Linked DNA regions of Caenorhabditis elegans. The protein of the gene in region 1 purifies or fractionates together with the protein of each later gene. This does not show direct contact. Each region holds a gene or a part of one and is shown on either strand. Other genes may lie near its edges.

Region 1 (4,908 bases):
TAAGACTCAATTTTTTGAATCGATTTATCAACGAAATGAGCTCGTTTTCTGACACTTTGATTCCAGTGACATTGAAGAAGTTTCATCTCCCAAAGACTTGATTCCAATGCGCGAGTTTTGTGTAAATCTGTCTCATCATTGTCGAAAGGATCATCGTAAAGAGTCTGAGGAACCTCACGATGAACCAATTCAGAACAGTTTGGATGTCTAATCACAAGATTTCTAATTAATCCAAGAATTGGTTCCTGAGCATCAATTGGAGCAAGAAGAAGGCATCGGGAGAGTCGTTTGAGGAACGAAGCAGTGATGTATGTTGGGAGATGGCTGAAAAGGTATGATTCAGAATAAATTTTCTAGAATATTGCAACTCACGTAGACGACAGGAAACTATCCAGAAGTGTCAGAATGGATTCTTTCTGACTCATATAGAGAAGAGATGGGTTCGTCAATGAATATACTTTGTCGTAGAATTTCGGATATTCACTGAAATAAAGATTTATATGAATCTATTTCAAATAAAATCTCTTACAAGTTATGTTCTGAAATAAGACGAAAAATAGCACCAAGCGAAAGAATTCCATGATAGTCAGTTTTGTCGAACATTTTGAAAAAGAAATCAGCAGATTTGAATGGTGCTTTCAATTTCGAAATGACGTTCTGAGTGATATATGGAATAAGTTTCAGTGTCAACTTGTCACTAATTTTTCCATTCATAACAGCCATCCAAACGTTGTCATAGTCAGTTGAGATCCATGTCAGCTTTCGTTTTTTCATACTTTTATCGTTGAATGGAGTTCTGACACAAAACTGGCGAAATAATGGTTTCGTCACTCGATCAGTTGGGTGCGGGACGAATGAAAGAAAATTGAACAGGTTGAACCAGGCGGTGGTGCGAGTTTCTTTTAGGTGCTGAAAATGTGTGATTCGTATAAACAAATACAGATATTTTAACTCACCGTTATAGACTTCACAAGCTCCGGGGAGATTAAGTGGAAAATATCATATCTTCCAAAAATTTTAGCGATTCCTCTGAGAACTGGACGCTGAATTCGCTTCGTGCCAAACAAGTATTGAATGAAACCGGTTACAGTAAACTTTAGTGATTTTGTAGAAACAATATCTCCAGTTTTTGCGTCTTTTTCGAAAAACTTTATCGTTTTAAAGTATTTTATGATGTCATCCGGATATTCGCATTCTTGCAAAAATTTAGTGAATTCTGCAACAGACTTGCTTTTGGGTTCTTCCCTCTCCAACTCATAATTGACATCGACATTGTCAGGCGCTTCATCTTCTGAGCCATCATCCGAAAAATCAGCCTGAAAAGGTTTTGGTAAGATTTACATGAGATTTTGCTATTTCTTACATTCTGCTCCGCATCATCATGGAAAAATTGGTCCAAATCGTCGTCCATTGCCCTGAAATTATTTGATTAGCGACGATTGCTATAAAAATCAGAAAATTTAGACATTTTTGAGAAAAAAAAACGAAAAAGTATGAATCCTTGTGAAATGTCGTCAGGTGTCATGTTTGCGTACAAAGTAATGCTCGGTGTTCACGTACAATCGAATACCGTAGTTTATTGTTTTCGCTTCGGCGCGCCAAAAATAATGCAACACTTTTCCCAATTTTTCTTCTAGAATCGATACGAATCTGATGATAATTATCGAAATCTTTTCGTTATTTCTGTTTAAATTATAAATAATCATATTCAATCTCTGGTAATGAGTATATTGAATTCATGAATTCATATTGCAAGAAACCAGAACAAATTTCACCGAAAAGAGGGTTTATTTTCGTAATTAGTTTCGCTCGGAAAATCGATATTTTCTTTCAGTGTCGCTACATTCTGCTGGAGTATACTTTCTGAAGTCTCTTCTTTCGATTTCTTCCCTCTCTCTCTCGTTAACTAGACTTATTGACAAACAATTTTCAGAATGGCTGAGCTCCAATTCCCGGGAGTTTATGTTGAAGATGTAGGTCATTTGGCGTTCGGAACACTTAAATTGACTGAAAAATCACTCAACTTCAAAGGCGATAAGGGTGGAAAATCAGTTAATGTCACGGGATCCGATATCGATAAACTGAAATGGCAAAAACTTGGCAACAAGCCGGGACTACGAGTCGGTCTCAACGATGGAGGTGCTCACCGCTTCGGAGGATTCAAAGATACTGTTAGTTTTTTGTTCATTTCATTTTGATTTGTTTTTAGTTTCATTTAAAACACTCTTGCTTTCTTGCTGCTTTTCAAAAAACTTCAATCACAAACTTGAAATTTCAGGACCTCGAGAAAATCCAATCGTTCACTTCTTCTAATTGGTCTCAATCCATCGATCAATCAAATCTTTTCATCAAAGGATGGAACTACGGACAAGCCGAAGTAAAAGGCAAGACTGTTGAATTTTCATGGGAAGATAAGCCAATTTTCGAAATCCCGTGCACGAATGTATCGAATGTTATTGCAAACAAAAATGAGGCAGTTTTGGAGTTCCACCAAAATGATGATAGCAAAGTTCAGCTCATGGAGATGAGATTCCATATGCCAATTGATCTTGAAAATGAGGAGGATGCTGATAAAGTTGAAGAATTCAAGAAAGCTGTTCTGGCATACGCTGGATTGGAAGCCGAGACGGAGCAACCGATATGTCTTCTCACCGACATTCTATGCACAACTCCTCGTGGAAGATACGACATCAAAGTTTATCCAACAAGTATTGCACTTCATGGAAAAACGTACGACTACAAGATTCCTATCAAGTCGATCAATCGTCTATTCCTGGTACCTCATAAAGATGGACGTCATGTATATTTTGTGTTGTCGTTGAATCCACCAATCCGTCAGGGACAGACACGATACAGTTATCTCATTTTTGAGTTTGGAAAAGACGAGGAACAAGATTTGGAGTTGGCACTTACTGAGTGAGTTTATCTAGAGATTTTACGAAAAATCGGACAATCGTCTAAAAATATTATATTTTTAGTGAACAACTCGAATCTAGCAATGGGAATCTACGACGTGACATGACTGGTCCAATCTATGAAACAATCTCAATTCTCTTCAAATCAATTTGCAATTTAAAAATCACTGTTCCTGGACGGTTCCTGGGAAGCTCGGGCACCCCTGCCATTCAATGTACACATCGTCAGAACCCTGGATTATTGTACCCAATGGAAAAAGGATTTTTGTTCATTCACAAGCCAGCCATGTACATTCGCTTTGAGGAGATTAGCTCATGTCATTTTGCACGTTCTGATAGTGGTACTGTCACCAGGACATTTGATTTCGAGATTGATTTGAAATATGGAGGACCTTTAACTTTCAATGCGATGGAAAAGGAGGAGAACAACAAATTATTCGATTATTTGAATAAGAAAAATATCAAAATCCGAAATTCACAACGTGTCGAGAATACCGTCGCAGACTCCAGTGATGATGAAATTGATCCATATAAAGCAGCAGTTACAGCCGAAGGACGCCAACGAGATGATAGTGATGATGACAGTACTGATGAAGATTATGATCTTGATAAGGATATAAAAAAGAAAAAGGAGGATAAGGAGTCGTCAGAAGGAACTGGATCAGAGCCAGACGATGAATATGATTCTGGATCAGAACAAGATTCCAGTGGAACTGGAGAGTCTGAGCCGGATTCTGAGCAAGATGTTCCGTCGAAGCGAAGAAAGGGTGAACCTAAAGAGAAGAGGGAAAAGAAGGAGAAAAGAGAAAAGAAGGAAGGCAAGAAAGGAAAGAAAGACAAAGATCCAAACGCTCCGAAACGTGCTACAAGTGCCTACATGCAATGGTTCCTTGCTAGTCGAAATGAACTGAAGGAGGATGGTGATTCTGTTGCTGATGTGGCCAAGAAAGGTGGAGCCAAATGGAAAACGATGAGCTCGGATGATAAAAAGGTTCGTTGATTATAGTCTACAATTTATCCTCTAAAATAATTTTAATTTACAGAAATGGGAGGAAAAAGCAGAAGAAGATAAGTCTCGATACGAGAAAGAAATGAAGGAATACAGAAAGAATGGACCACCATCTTCCTCGTCAAAACCATCTTCATCAAAAACATCAAAGAAAAGTTCTGGACCATCTTCATCCAAGGCCATTTCGAAAGAGTATATCAGTGATTCAGATGATTCGGACGATGAGGAGCCGAAGAAAAAAGAGAAGAAAGCCGCTCCAAAAGAAGAATCAGAAGAGAGTAATAATGGCTCCGATGGATCTGATGAATCGGATGATTCAGATTAAATTATTAATTTTGTTTCTTTTAAACTCGTGTACTATCGTTTAAATATTCATGTATCTCAAGTTGTCTGAATATCTCATTCTGTTACATTCATTAATTTTTTGATTGCACTTTTAACTTTAATACACTTATCTTTTATTATTATTTTTTGATGATTGATCGATTTACTGGTTCAAACCCATACGTGATCTTTGATTATTTTCCGATTCTTATGAAATTTAAATTATTCGATTTCAGATGTCCATTTTGTCCGACTTTTTGAAGCATCCCAACTTGCTTCAAGTGACGGACGGTGGACCACTGGTCGATGGAACCAACGGGGTCAAAGGGACAAGAGTGGTGGGAAGTGTCTCGAATGCGAGAGGTGAGCTTATTTTATTGTTGAATGACTTTAAATTTTGGAAGTAATTTTATTGAATCAGAAATGAAACTGATTTAAAATTAAAAAGTACTCATTTTAGAATTGTTAAAAACGAAGTAGCGCCAGTTATTAGAAAGTTGAAAATTAATTTTCAAAAATATAAATTCTAACCTTTAATTACTATTCTCAATTTCAGAATTGCGCGGTGCTGATTCTTTGGTCGGAGACGTTGAGCGTGCAATTATTCAAGTACAAGAGACTGAGTTGCTCGCCGAAGTCTGCAATACCGTTTTCGACGTT
Region 2 (6,521 bases), on another chromosome or scaffold:
TGCGAACAGATGAGTAAACGCGAGAGTAACGTCATTCTTATTGACACCGCCTTCCTCGAGCGCCTTATTCCACGAACTGACGAATTCCGAGCTGAATTTCTCTTTGACGAAATTTCCAACATCTCCGCCTGCACTTTTGATGTGATCAATGAGCTTTTCAAAGTTTCCAGCGTCTTTATCGGTTTTATCGCGGAGCAGTGTGCTGACTGTTGGCACTTTTCCTGAGCTCTGATTGTCTCCAGTGACTGATCCGAAGAATTCGACTTTGCGATTACTTCCGAGAATGTAAATGTGATCATTGAGAAGCAACAGGACTGTGTCAGCGATTTCGTGGCCAAAAAGCCAGGTCTGAAATAAAAATTTGTCTTGAGTTTGAACAAAGTCTGAAAAATCCTTACAAATAGTTCGCTGGTCTTTGTATATGGATTATCAGTCTCTCCGTATACAAAAGCAAGTGATTTGATCGAATCTAGACCATCGGCTCCCTTCTCCTGTAAAATATTTGTAAAAAAGTAAAAACTATCAAAAACAGATCCAATGAAAATAAAATGGAACTCGGTAATTTTCAAACTCAATCTCACAATTTTTCGATGGAAAACATTTTAAAAATATAGCAATTCTACAGCTTTTATGGCAAAAAAATAGGGAAAAAATTAGAATTCAAAAATGTTCGTCGACAACAACGCAAAACCACAATCGTGTCGAGACCCATCCGAGTAAGCCGATGTCCCTTTAACCAACCCTATCGCGGTTTTTTTTTAAATTTTTAAAATTTCTTCAAATATTTCGTCCGTTTCTCTTGTGGACCGCTGTTAAAATAGTTAAATACTTTATTTTTCAGAAAACAGATAATTTATACCAAATTGACAGATGTAGAGCTAAACTCCTCAAAATTTTCTAAAGTTCTTATAATTTTACTGTTGTCTGCGTTTCAAGGCCTGAAATATTGTAGGCACTATCGTAGGATTACAACCGGATTTGTAACTTTGATTATCTGAAAAGGAAAAATATTAAACTTTTCTTTCAGGATTTTTCGCAATTGCCGGCGTAATAATTGCTAAAAGTCGACTTTAACTTCAATATATTTTAGCATTCCGAATCTGAAACTAGTTCCCAAATGCCATCTCTCCTTATCATTATAGTCTTCTTGCTGGTATTCTTGGAAATTGGATTTTTCCCTGTAATGTGTGGATGTTGGATGGATGTTTGTACACTTCCATTATTCAATATAACATTATCACAAAGAATTGCAACATTTGCCACAGCTCCATTCATGTCAATATTCCTTCATTGGATGGTTGGAATGATTTATGTATTTTATTCAGCGTCATTTGTGATTCTTCTTCGAGAAATCCTTCGTCCTGGTGTACTATGGTTTATGAGAAATCTCAACGATCCCGACTTTAATCCAATTCAAGAAATAATTGATCTACCGTTCACGCGGCATTTCCGAAGACTTGTTGTATCTACAACTCTGTTCTTTTCAACGATTCTTCTGACATCCTACATCCCGCTCAACATAATCTCATCACTTATTCCACATCTTCTACCCTACAGAAACTCCACTTTCTGAACTCTCGCTGGAATTGATGTTTCTTCAAGAATTCATCACAATTGTGTACTCTCACATGGCCCCTCCGTAAATAACATGGCGGGAATATTGCATGCGGAGTGGTTGCGAAAGTGCGTGCGGCTGTTGCGTTCCTTGACCACGCCCAACTTCATTCCATTCTTTTTCGCGCGCAATCCTCACTTTCAGCTCTAATTTTTCAGAGTTTACAGTTCTTCAGTGAAAAAATATTTGTCTCGTCAAAACGTTTTTTTCAAAATTTTAAAATTGTGTCAAAAAAAATTAATTTTTTCGCAAATTTCAAACTTTTAGCCTATCCGAATCCGTTGCTGGTCACTTTGTTTACGTTATCGATTTTTGCTTCCATCTCTCAATCCTCGTGACTTTAACACAATTTCTAACTTTCAGGGGAGAAATGTCTGGAAAACGGGCAGTTCTCAACAAGGATCTCTTTTTCCAGAGAGCGGAGAGGCTTTATGAGCACTGGGTTTGTGACTTTCAGGACTTTACGAATTTTTAATCAAATATTTTACAGGAGAAGGGAGCCGATGGTCTAGATTCGATCAAATCACTTGCTTTTGTATACGGAGAGACTGATAATCCATATACAAAGACCAGCGCACTATTTGTAAGGATTTTTCAGAATTTGTTCAAACTCAAGACAAATTTTTATTTCAGACCTGGCTGTTTGGCCACGAAATCGCTGACACAGTCCTGTTGCTTCTCAAAGATCACATTTACATTCTCGGAAGTAATCGCAAAGTCGAATTCTTCGGATCAGTCACTGGAGACAATCAGAGCTCAGGAAAAGTGCCAACAGTCAGCACACTGCTCCGCGATAAAACCGACAAAGACGCTGGAAACTTTGAAAAGCTCATCGATCACATCAAAAGTGCCGGCGGAGATGTTGGAAATTTCGTCAAAGAGAAATTCAGCTCGGAATTCGTCAGTTCGTGGAATAAGGCGCTCGAGGAAGGCGGTGTCAATAAGAATGACGTCACTCTCGCGTTTACTCATCTGTTCGCAGTGAAAGACGATAAGGAGATGGATTTGATTCGAAAATCAGCACAAGCTACAACCGCATCATGGACAGCTGCAAGAGCTCGCTACGTAGAGATCATTGATCAAGAAAAGGTGCTTATCGTTCTGAAAATAGTTGAACCAGGAGTCCGCTGCAAGCATTTCTACATAATTAGCCAGTTTTTGGTGATAGAATATAATGAAGCAGTTGATGTATCTGAAAATAGCTTTTAATTCAATTGAAAAAGCGGAAGAACTGCTCAAAATCAATCTGAAAGTTGGAAATCACCCGAAAATTAAACTTTCATGCAGTTTTTGAGCGTTCTTCCAGTTGTTTCAATTAAATGTAAAGCTATTTTTAGATGACTAAACTGTTTTTCCTTTTATCTATCACCAATAACTGGCTCATTTTTTAGTACTCCTGGGAAAACCACTGTTTTAATCCCGAGAAAATAATTCTTTTTTATTTTTGCAGCGAGTCCGTCACTCTGTTCTCTCCAATGAGTTTGCCGCCTTCATGAAGGATTCAAAAGTACAACAGGCACTGGCCAAGTATGAAGCCGACACATGCTATGATCCAATCGTAATGTCCGGTGGAAATTACTCGTTCAAATGGAATCATGAAAGCTCGGAATCTCATCTTCACAGCCAGTTTGGAACGATCATCACTTCGTTCGGAGCTCGTTTATCAGAATATTGCACAAATTTGACGCGAACTATGCTCATCTTCCCATCTTCTGAACTTGAGACTGCCTATGAAGCGATTCTTGCCGCCGAGCTGGCAGTAATTGCTGCTCTGAAGCCAGGAGCCAAGCTGAGCGATGTTTATAAAATTGGAATCGATACATTGACGGAGAAAAGTCCAAAACTTGCTGAAACTCTGAACAAGAAAGAGCTTGGATTTGCGACTGGAATCGAATTCCGTGAGAGTCGTCTTGCTATCAGTGCGAAGTGTGACGAGGTTGTCAAAGCAGGAATGGTCTTCATCGTTTATATTGGTGTCGATAGTATTCCAAACAAAAATAAAGGAGAAAAAGGAAAACCCGCCGCAATTGCAATCTCGGATACAATTTTGGTTAAAGAAGAAGGCGATAACGAGATTCTCACCGAAAAAGCCAAATCACGCCTGAAGTCCAACGTCATCAAATTCAAAGAGGAGCAGGAAAACCGTGAAGCTGAAAAGGACAATGATCAGAAGAAAATGCTCGGAAGAGGTCAGAGAAGTGTCGTTCTAACTGATCAGACGAGAAATAAGACGACAAACGAAGAGTTACGTAAGGAACGTCAGAAAGAGCTCGGAGTTCAGTTGAATGAGCTCGCAAAAGCTCGTCTTTCAAAGCAAGGCGGTGGGACCGATGAGAAAAAGTCGAAGAAATCGAATGTGTCATATAAAACCGAAGAGAGATTCCCACAAGATGCAGACGTTCAGAAGATGTTGATTTTCGTGGATCGCAAGTATGATTCTGTGGTTGTTCCAATATTTGGAATTCCTGTCCCATTCCATATCTCCATGATAAAGAATTGTTCGCAATCAGTTGAAGGAGATTTCACATATCTTCGAATCAACTTTGCCACTCCAGGATCTCAAGTTGGAAAGGATAGTGGGCAATTCCCACATCCACTTGCACACTATATGAAGGAGCTCACGTTCCGTGCGAGTAACATCAAGGATCATCACAGTGATTCGACTGCGCCGAGCCATAATTTGAGCACCGCATTCCGACTCATCAAGGAAATGCAGAAGAGATTCAAGACTGAAGAGGCTGAAGAGCGGGAGAAGGAAGGAGCTGTGAAGCAGGACAAATTGATTTTGAGCCAGAACAAATTGAATCCGAAGCTCAAGGATCTTCTGATTCGTCCGAATATTATTCAAAAGCGTATCACTGGATCGTTGGAGGCCCACACTAATGGATTTAGGTACAGTTTTGAAGGAAAACGAATGTTTCTGAACTCAAAAATTGCCAAATTTGAAAACTTTCGTTTCGAAATTATGCCGTTTCGGATCAGTTTTAGTCTATTTAAACAAAAAAAATCTAAAAGCTCAAAATTTCCTATTTTTATTTCAATGATTTTCCAGATACACATCTCTTCGTGGTGATCGTATTGATGTTCTCTACAACAACATCAAACATGCATTCTTCCAACCGTGCGACAATGAAATGATCATCCTTCTGCACTTCCATCTCAAGAATCCAGTATTGTGGGGAAAGAAGAAGTATAAGGATGTTCAATTCTACACAGAAGTCGGAGAAATCACTACGGATCTTGGAAAGTATCATCATATGCAAGATCGTGATGATATGCAGAGTGAACAGCAAGAACGTGAAATGCGTCGTCGTCTCAATGCTGCATTTAATAGTTTCTGCGAGAAGGTGTCTCGTCTCACAAATGATCAATTTGAATTCGATTCTCCGTTCGCTGGACTCGGATTCTTTGGAGTTCCGTATCGTTCGGCTACCACACTCAAACCAACTGCATCGTGCCTTGTTAATCTCACCGAATGGGTATGTTTTTTGAATTTTATTCCTGAATTCTTTTATATTTTATTTATTTTCAGCCTACATTCATCGTCACACTCTCCGAAGTTGAACTTGTCCACTTTGAACGTGTCTCTCTTCAACTCAAGAATTTCGATATGGTCTTCATCTTCAAAGATTACAAGATCAAACCTCAGATGGTCGCCCAAATCCCGATGAGCAGCATCGATAAGATAAAAGAATGGCTTCATACTTGTGATATTTGGTACAGTGAAGGAATTCAATCACTGAATTGGGCAAAAGTTATGAAGACAATCACTGATGATCTTGAAGCATTCTTTGAAGAAGGTGGATGGAGTTTCCTTAATGTTGAATCTGATAATGAAGAGGCAATGGATGATTCTGATGATTCGGATGCTTATGATCCTGAAGAAGAAGATGCATCTGCTGGATCAGGAAGTGAAAGTGATGAAGATGAAAGTGAAGGTGAAGAGACTGAATCCGATGATGATGATGAAGGATCGTTGGATTCCGATGAATCAGAAGGAAAAGATTGGTCAGATTTGGAGGAAGAAGCAGCGAATGCTGATAAGAGACGTGAAGTCGAAGAACCTTCACGTGATCGTGATCGTAAGAGACCACATTCGAGCAAGTCTGGACCATCGCACAAACGCAGAAAGTAAATCCTGTTTGTATAATTTCCTCCGTTTTATTCTTTTGTTTTGTTTTTCAACTATTTAAATCCCCAAGAATTTTCTTCGCATCTCAATCAATCAATCCGTCCCGTTACACCCCCCATTTTACAACAATTTTACAACTAAAATCTGTCAATCCCCTTATTTTTCTTTCCCACTCAAAATTTGAGTCGATGCTAAAATATTTTTGATTTCAAAATCAATTAATGTCAAATGAAGTTTCATGGAGGCACGTTTTTACATAATTTTGTCGGTTTTCTGAAAATGTTTCCGTTTCTACTTTTTCTGATTAATATTACAACAACAAAATTATACAGATTTCTAAAAAGGAAAAGTTTTGCCAAATGGGTCTCGCCGCGCAGACGACAGGTTACTGTAGCTCGTGTTGATCTTCGAGCCGCTTTAGAATATTATGCAAAAGCGTCATAGACACGAGTTACCGTAGTCCTCGTGGCGAGACCCATTTGGCGAAAAGTTTTAATTTTAGACGTCTGTGTAATAAGCAGTTGCTTGAAACATGAAGATCGTATGCAGAGGGTGGAGCATTGGAATGCTCTTGACATGCCACGTGTCTTGCACTTAGCCCTCTGATTGCGGTGGATTTGTGGGTTCGGTGAGTGGGAATTTTGCTGAAAATAATTTTTTAATTGAATAAACTCGCTAATTTCCGATTTACAGATGCCGAAACCACCTGGCCCAGTGGCAAAACGGTTAAAACTGAAGGATGATTCAGTTTCGGGTTCCGATTCAGCATCTACG
Region 3 (7,637 bases), on another chromosome or scaffold:
TGAGGCAATCGATTTCAGAGCAACAGCGCATGCTAGCTGTAGAGTTCCGCACATTGCTTGATCCGACCAGTCTGTTTCATTCCGAATGTGGGCGATCATGTTTGTGAGCACTTGTTGAGCATCGTGAACTGTAAACTCTCAAACAGATTTGTAACTGGATTTTTGGGTATAGGCATGAAGATGGAGTAGCGAGAATTGCTTTAGAAAATCGAAAATATTCTCGAATACAGAAAAACCACAAAAGAAAAACAGAAAAATCGCTACTCCATCTTCAAATATTACCTTGAGACAACACTTCACTCGATGTGATTTTAACGAGAGAAATCCAGGCTGTCAAGCTACTACAACTGAGCTTCTCCGGTGGAACTGCCTTTACAATTTGGAATAAATGATTTGAAATCGAAACTGCGTTTCCTCCCGGAATCTCACAGATCATCGAAATGCAACCAATTACTTCACTTCGAATCTCCTCAATGGCATTTCTGACCTGAAATTAATTTTATGAAAGAATTCCAAAATTATAATCAATTCGGTACCAATTTCTGATGTTTAGAGCCTCCTAAACCGTTGACATCTGGAGATTGAAGTCGTGCAAATTCTGATTGAACGGTGAAATTGATTAGTTGTTCTGAAAATTGGAAAAAAAAATTAGTAATATTTATGATAATATAATTTTTTGAAAACCCACGAAAAAGGTTTTTGATCACGTCCTCGTTGATGAATGTGCTATTGAGGAACTTGCTGATACGTTGAGGAATATCCTCTCGGTCCCATTTTAGCATTTGGCGCATTGTTGCGATTAGGAGCCTGTGCGCATCATAGTAGCAAACGACAGCGATTAATCCTCTGTTGAGGCCTTCGAAATGTATTTTTTGAGCTTCTCCGGCCAAAATCAAATCCACAGCTTCCAGCTCATTTAATTGAAAGATATCCGACAAAATGAGTGCTTCCGAACAGATTTCCTCGTCTAGCGCAACTTCCACTCCTGCCATTTCCACATTTCCTGGCTTCAGCTTTTCCCGATCTTTACCCGTTCGTCTCTTCAATTAGAAAGGTTTATTACACTAACATCAGTCGGAAAACATACCGGATTCAAAAGAATATTGCTCAATCGCCATCTGTATTTCTCGATTTCGTTGAACAGCTCGTTTATTTTTCGGTCGTCATCGAAAGCTGTGAAGGAGACGATGAGTTCGTAAAATTTACGAATCTCAATCCACATTTTGAGCTCTCTAAAATAAATAAAACATTATTTAGAACAAAAAGTTACTTTTTTTGAATTTTTTCGCAAAAAAATTACACAACTTCTATCTCGCAATGCATTTCCGTAAGAGACGCAGACACAAAAACTAAATTTCGTATTTCGAGGCTACAACTACGGTAACACTCGTTTCAGCTGTGTATTTTTCGCGCGTTCGCTGCGAGACCCGACGCTCTTAGGCCGCCAATTTCGAATCGGACGCTCATTTTGGCGCGCTCAGTTGTTTTTTTGTGCGCTCTCTAGCCGGCTGTCTTGCATCGATTCAGTGTTCAGTGTCCAGTGATGTCCACTGGTGTGCTAGTTCTTTTTCTCTTCACTCATTTTTCTTCGCATCCTCAAGTTTATTGAATATTCACCGCGTTTCTTTCTCTCTTTCTCCCGATCGTCCTAAAATTAAATGTCATCTTTTTCCAGATCTCTAACAATGAGCGACTCTGATAGTGAATTCTCTATCGAAGATTCACCCAAGAAGAAAACCGCACCAAAGAAGGAGAAGGCGTCACCGAAGAAAAAGAAAGATGATGGTTGGTTAATTTGTAGAGTTTCTTGAATCTAATTTGCTTCTTTTCAGCCAACGAGTCGATGGTTATGACTGAAGAGGACCGCAATGTGTTCACGTCGATCGACAAAAAAGGTGGTGGCTCGAAACAAATGGCGATCGAGGATATCTACCAAAAGAAGTCCCAACTCGAGCACATTCTTCTTCGCCCGGACACCTACATCGGTTCGGTCGAGCATACCGAGAAGACGCCGATGTGGGTCTACAACATGGAGGAGAGCAAGCTGGAGCAGCGTGACATCTCATACGTGCCGGGACTCTACAAGATTTATGATGAAATTCTTGTGAATGCCGCTGACAACAAACAGAGAGATCCGAAGATGAACACAATCAAGATCACCATCAATAAGTAAGTTTAGACCGTAGCATAAAGGAATTTAATTTAATTTTGCTTTCTTTCAGGGAGAAAAATGAGATCTCTGTCTACAACAATGGCAAAGGAATCCCAGTCACTCAGCACAAAGTGGAGAAAGTCTACGTCCCAGAGCTGATTTTTGGAACTCTTCTAACATCTTCTAACTACAATGACGATGAGAAGAAAGTGACGGGAGGACGCAACGGATATGGAGCAAAGCTTTGCAACATCTTCTCCACAAAATTCACTCTGGAGACGTCTTCACGGGATTACAAAAGTGCATTCAAGCAAACGTGGATCAAAAACATGACGCGTGATGAGGAGCCGAAGATTGTTAAGAGCACCGACGAAGACTTCACGAAGATCACATTCTCGCCGGATCTGGCAAAGTTCAAGATGAAGGAGCTGGACGATGACATCTGCCATTTGATGGCTCGGCGTGCGTATGATGTGGCTGGATCCAGTAAAGGAGTCGCCGTGTTCCTCAATGGAAAACGAATTCCAATCAAAGGATTCGAGGACTACGTCCAAATGTACACTTCGCAGTTCAACAATGAAGGAGAACCCCTCAAGATCGCATACGAGCAAGTTGGAGATCGTTGGCAAGTCGCCTTGGCTCTTTCGGAAAAAGGCTTCCAACAAGTGTCATTTGTCAACAGTATTGCTACCACAAAAGGAGGACGGCACGTGGACTACGTGGCTGATCAGATGGTCGCCAAGTTCATCGACTCGATCAAGCGGAAGCTCACAAAGACGTCGATGAATATCAAGCCATTCCAGGTAAATTTCGTCGAATTTAAAATATTTACCGCCAATGATGACTCAAAATAGCTATATGAACTCTTTGGTGACTCGATAATAAGAGAAATCTGAAAATTTTCAAGGTTTTTCTAGAGATTTCACCGATTCTTTTGAAGTATCGGTGCACCAAGTGAAAAATAAAATTGCGACGCTTTAGTGACGCTGGAGAAAGTTTTTATCCAGTGTCTAAAGGCGCGGCGCAACATTTTTAAACTTTCCGATGATTTGTGATTACTAAAAGGCGAATCTGAGGCGAGGAATTGCTAATGCGAATTCAAATCTAATAAATTTTCCAAATATTCAATTTTATATCAAAATTTTCAGATCAAAAATCACATGTGGGTTTTTGTGAATTGCTTGATCGAAAATCCGACATTCGACTCCCAGACGAAAGAGACTATGACCCTGCAGCAGAAGCAGTTCGGATCGACCTGCGTCCTCAGCGAGAAGTTCTCCAAAGCGGCTTCAAGTGTTGGAATCACCGATGCTGTTATGAGTTGGGTTCGCTTCAAACAAATGGACGACCTCAACAAAAAGTGCTCCAAGACGAAGACTTCCAAGCTGAAGGTAACAATTCATCTAATTCGTGGCCTTGTTTTAATTAATATTTATTTCAGGGCATTCCAAAGCTTGAAGATGCCAACGACGCTGGAACCAAAAATTCCCAACAATGCACATTAATTCTGACGGAGGGAGACTCGGCCAAAACGCTTGCTGTTTCGGGACTTTCAGTCGTTGGACGCGACAAATATGGAGTATTCCCACTTCGAGGAAAATTGCTAAATGTCCGAGAAGGAAATATGAAACAAATCGCCGATAATGCTGAGGTCAATGCCATGATCAAAATTCTGGGACTCCAATACAAGAAGAAGTACGAGACAGAAGATGACTTCAAGACTCTTCGATACGGTAAACTGATGGTCATGGCTGATCAGGATCAAGACGGTTCACACATCAAAGGACTCGTGATCAATTTCATCCATCACTTCTGGCCTTCTCTCATTCAGCGGAACTTCGTAGAAGAATTCATCACTCCAATTGTCAAAGCCACCAAAGGAAAAGAAGAAGTTTCCTTCTATTCGCTCCCAGAATATTCTGAGTGGAGAATGAATACGGATAACTGGAAGTCGTACAAGATCAAGTACTACAAGGGATTGGGTACATCGACTTCTAAGGAAGCTAAGGAATACTTCTTGGACATGGTTCGTCATCGTATCCGCTTCAAGTACAATGGAGCTGATGATGATAACGCTGTCGACATGGCTTTCTCGAAGAAGAAGATTGAAGAGAGAAAAGACTGGCTCTCGAAGTGGATGCGGGAGAAGAAGGACCGAAAGCAGCAGGGACTTGCTGAAGAATATCTCTACAACAAGGACACTCGATTCGTCACCTTCAAAGATTTCGTCAATCGTGAATTGGTCCTCTTCTCGAATCTCGACAACGAGCGTTCAATTCCATGCCTTGTGGATGGTTTCAAGCCAGGACAGCGGAAGGTTCTCTTCGCGTGCTTCAAGAGAGCAGACAAGCGTGAAGTCAAAGTAGCTCAATTGGCTGGAGCTGTCGCTGAAATTTCTGCTTACCATCACGGAGAACAGTCGCTTATGGGAACAATTGTGAATCTCGCTCAAGATTACGTTGGCTCCAACAACATCAACCTGCTTCTTCCAATCGGACAGTTTGGTACTCGTCTCCAAGGTGGAAAGGACAGTGCTTCAGCTCGTTACATCTTCACTCAACTGTCGCCAGTCACTCGTACACTCTTCCCGGCTCACGATGACAATGTCCTTCGTTTCCTTTATGAAGAAAATCAGCGTATTGAGCCAGAATGGTATTGCCCGATTATTCCAATGGTACTCGTCAATGGAGCTCAAGGCATCGGTACTGGATGGTCCACGAACATTCCTAATTACAATCCACGTGAACTGGTCAAGAACATCAAGCGTCTTATCGCCGGCGAGCCACAGAAAGCCTTAGCTCCATGGTACAAGAACTTCCGCGGAAAGATCATTCAAATCGACCCGAGTCGATTTGCATGCTATGGTGAAGTTGCTGTGCTGGATGACAACACCATTGAGATCACCGAGTTGCCAATCAAACAGTGGACTCAAGACTACAAAGAGAAGGTTTTGGAAGGATTGATGGAGAGCTCGGACAAGAAATCGCCTGTTATCGTCGACTACAAAGAGTATCACACAGATACAACTGTCAAGTTCGTCGTGAAGCTCTCGCCGGGAAAACTTCGTGAATTGGAGCGCGGTCAGGATCTTCATCAAGTCTTCAAGCTCCAAGCTGTCATCAACACTACGTGCATGGTACTTTTCGATGCTGCCGGATGTCTTCGTACATACACTTCGCCAGAAGCGATTACTCAAGAGTTCTACGATAGTCGCCAAGAGAAGTACGTACAGAGAAAGGAGTACCTTCTCGGAGTTCTTCAGGCTCAGAGCAAGCGTCTCACTAACCAGGCTCGTTTCATCCTCGCCAAGATCAACAACGAGATTGTTCTCGAGAACAAGAAGAAGGCGGCGATTGTCGATGTTTTGATCAAGATGAAGTTCGATGCTGATCCAGTGAAGAAGTGGAAGGAGGAGCAAAAACTCAAAGAGCTTCGTGAATCTGGAGAGATCGAGCTGGACGAAGATGATCTAGCTGCTGTCGCCGTCGAAGAGGACGAAGCCATTTCCTCTGCTGCGAAGGCCGTTGAAACCAAGCTATCAGACTACGATTACCTTGTCGGAATGGCTCTCATCAAGCTTTCGGAAGAAGAGAAGAATAAGCTCATCAAGGAATCGGAGGAGAAGATGGCTGAGGTTCGAGTTATCGAGAAGAAGACCTGGCAAGATCTTTGGCATGAGGATCTGGACAACTTCGTGTCTGAGTTGGACAAACAGGAGGCTCGCGAGAAAGCTGATCAAGATGCCAGCATCAAAAATGCCGCCAAAAAGCTTGCTGCCGACGCAAAGACCGGACGTGGACCCAAGAAGAATGTGTGCACGGAAGTCCTTCCATCCAAAGATGGACAGCGCATTGAGCCGATGTTGGATGCTGCAACCAAGGCCAAATATGAGAAGATGTCTCAGCCAAAGAAGGAACGCGTCAAGAAAGAGCCAAAGGAGCCGAAAGAACCAAAGAAGGTGAAAAAGGAAGGCCAGGACATTAAAAAGTTCATGTCTCCAGCTGCTCCGAAGACTGCGAAGAAGGAGAAAAGCGACGGCTTCAACTCTGACATGTCAGAGGAAAGTGACGTGGAGTTCGATGTAAGATTTCCTCTGTAATTTCTTCAACTTCTAAAATATTTTTTGCAGGAAGGAATCGATTTCGATTCGGACGATGACGGTGTGGAGCGTGAGGATGTCGTCTCAAAGCCAAAACCTCGTACTGGAAAAGGAGCTGCGAAAGCGGAAGTTATCGATTTGTCAGATGATGATGAAGTTCCTGCAAAGAAGCCTGCTCCAGCGAAGAAAGCTGCTCCGAAGAAGAAAAAGAGCGAGTTCAGCGATCTGTCTGGCGGCGACAGTGATGAAGAAGCTGAGAAGAAGCCGTCCACCAGCAAAAAGCCGTCTCCAAAGAAGGCTGCTCCGAAGACGGCCGAGCCCAAGTCGAAGGCGGTGACCGATTTCTTTGGTGCTTCAAAGAAGAACGGAAAGAAGGCCGCTGGTTCCGATGATGAAGACGACGAAAGCTTCGTTGTGGCTCCAAGAGAGAAGAGGTTAGTTTGAAAATTATTTTTAAAAAATGTAATTATTTCAGCGGAAGAGCTCGCAAGGCGCCACCAACTTACGACGTGGATTCAGGATCCGATTCGGATCAGCCAAAGAAGAAGAGGGGACGCGTCGTCGACTCCGACTCGGATTAAATTAATTTGTTTCCCACCTTCCTTAAGTGTTTCTAATTTATTTTCTTTCCAATCATTTTAAAATCGTTTTAACGATCTCAACCATCCCCATCCTCCCCCAAATCATCCCGTATATTAAGTTTGTATTTTTACATGAGGGAAACTGCTGTAATATAATTATCGCCCTTATGCCTAAATTATTTACCCCTACCTAATTTCACTGTTTTTAAAAGTTATTTTTCTATTTATGTGAGTCTCAAGAATTATTGAGAAGAGTCTTCTTGCAATGAAAATGCCTATATTTCCAAAGCTTCCAACCTATATGCAGGTCTTCATCGTTTGTGTCGCTTGAGAAATGACGATGACAAGTCGTAAACGGTCTGTGTCCTTCTTCGTTGCATCCAACGTCTTGTTCCTACTGTTTTCTATTCCCCTATCGATCACACACTGTGTGTGCGTGTCCTTGGGCCTCTACCGTTTTTGAGGTCGAACATTTTAGACATTCAGGCGAACAATGAGATTTAGAGAGACACATGGAATCGCCTCCCCGGGAGAACTGGAGACTCGAGATGATTTGGTAGTCAGATAAGAAGAATCAATTGTATATTGAAGAAAAATGTAGAAATTAGGGAAACTTTTAAAGATAAAATTTAAAAATAAAATGCATTCGGCGCCAAGCTGAATGTGTCTCTAGTCATAGTCCTTGCTTTGTGGAGGATATTATGACTAACGAGCACATCCAGCGTGGCACATGGTGCATGAGCAGCTGAATACTGGAACGAAATTTGAATAAGTTGATTCTCAGAAGTTTGGCCGATGGCGGTAT

The links. Proteins that work in one complex are often made in the same cells at the same time.
Region 2: the proteins of hmg-4 (region 1) and spt-16 purify together in Caenorhabditis elegans (affinity purification with mass spectrometry; 3 studies listed by BioGRID, with this or other methods). This does not show direct contact.
Region 3: the proteins of hmg-4 (region 1) and top-2 purify together in Caenorhabditis elegans (affinity purification with mass spectrometry, with the first as the bait; 2 studies listed by BioGRID). This does not show direct contact.

The regions. Positions count from the first base shown.
Region 1 is NC_003281.10:7,378,622-7,383,529, reverse strand, and holds hmg-4 (FACT complex subunit SSRP1-A), read left to right. Parts: upstream 1-1,933; 5' UTR 1,934-1,934; coding exon 1,935-2,171; intron 2,172-2,278; coding exon 2,279-2,916; intron 2,917-2,978; coding exon 2,979-3,906; intron 3,907-3,958; coding exon 3,959-4,249; 3' UTR 4,250-4,387; downstream 4,388-4,908. Other genes in the region: T20B12.3 (nucleolar complex associated 4), read right to left, coding at 1-324, 373-483, 530-909, 957-1,316, 1,364-1,411; T20B12.7 (Anamorsin homolog), read left to right, coding at 4,485-4,611, 4,805-4,908.
Region 2 is NC_003279.8:10,787,152-10,793,672, forward strand, and holds spt-16 (FACT complex subunit spt-16), read left to right. Parts: upstream 1-1,978; 5' UTR 1,979-1,985; coding exon 1,986-2,057; intron 2,058-2,105; coding exon 2,106-2,198; intron 2,199-2,248; coding exon 2,249-2,704; intron 2,705-3,065; coding exon 3,066-4,507; intron 4,508-4,667; coding exon 4,668-5,094; intron 5,095-5,147; coding exon 5,148-5,750; 3' UTR 5,751-6,001; downstream 6,002-6,521. Other genes in the region: F55A3.2 (C2H2-type domain-containing protein), read left to right, coding at 6,441-6,521. UniProt on the Caenorhabditis elegans protein: Component of the FACT complex, a general chromatin factor that acts to reorganize nucleosomes. The FACT complex is involved in multiple processes that require DNA as a template such as mRNA elongation, DNA replication and DNA repair.
Region 3 is NC_003280.10:11,873,472-11,881,108, forward strand, and holds top-2 (DNA topoisomerase 2 top-2), read left to right. Parts: upstream 1-1,676; 5' UTR 1,677-1,685; coding exon 1,686-1,785; intron 1,786-1,832; coding exon 1,833-2,169; intron 2,170-2,222; coding exon 2,223-2,955; intron 2,956-2,988; exon of another isoform or gene 2,989-3,083; intron 3,084-3,084; exon of another isoform or gene 3,085-3,145; intron 3,146-3,159; exon of another isoform or gene 3,160-3,231; intron 3,232-3,300; coding exon 3,301-3,543; intron 3,544-3,593; coding exon 3,594-6,233; intron 6,234-6,281; coding exon 6,282-6,685; intron 6,686-6,726; coding exon 6,727-6,832; 3' UTR 6,833-7,117; downstream 7,118-7,637. Other genes in the region: npp-3 (Nuclear Pore complex Protein), read right to left, coding at 1-128, 283-487, 537-628, 689-1,040, 1,088-1,222. UniProt on the Caenorhabditis elegans protein: Control of topological states of DNA by transient breakage and subsequent rejoining of DNA strands. Topoisomerase II makes double-strand breaks.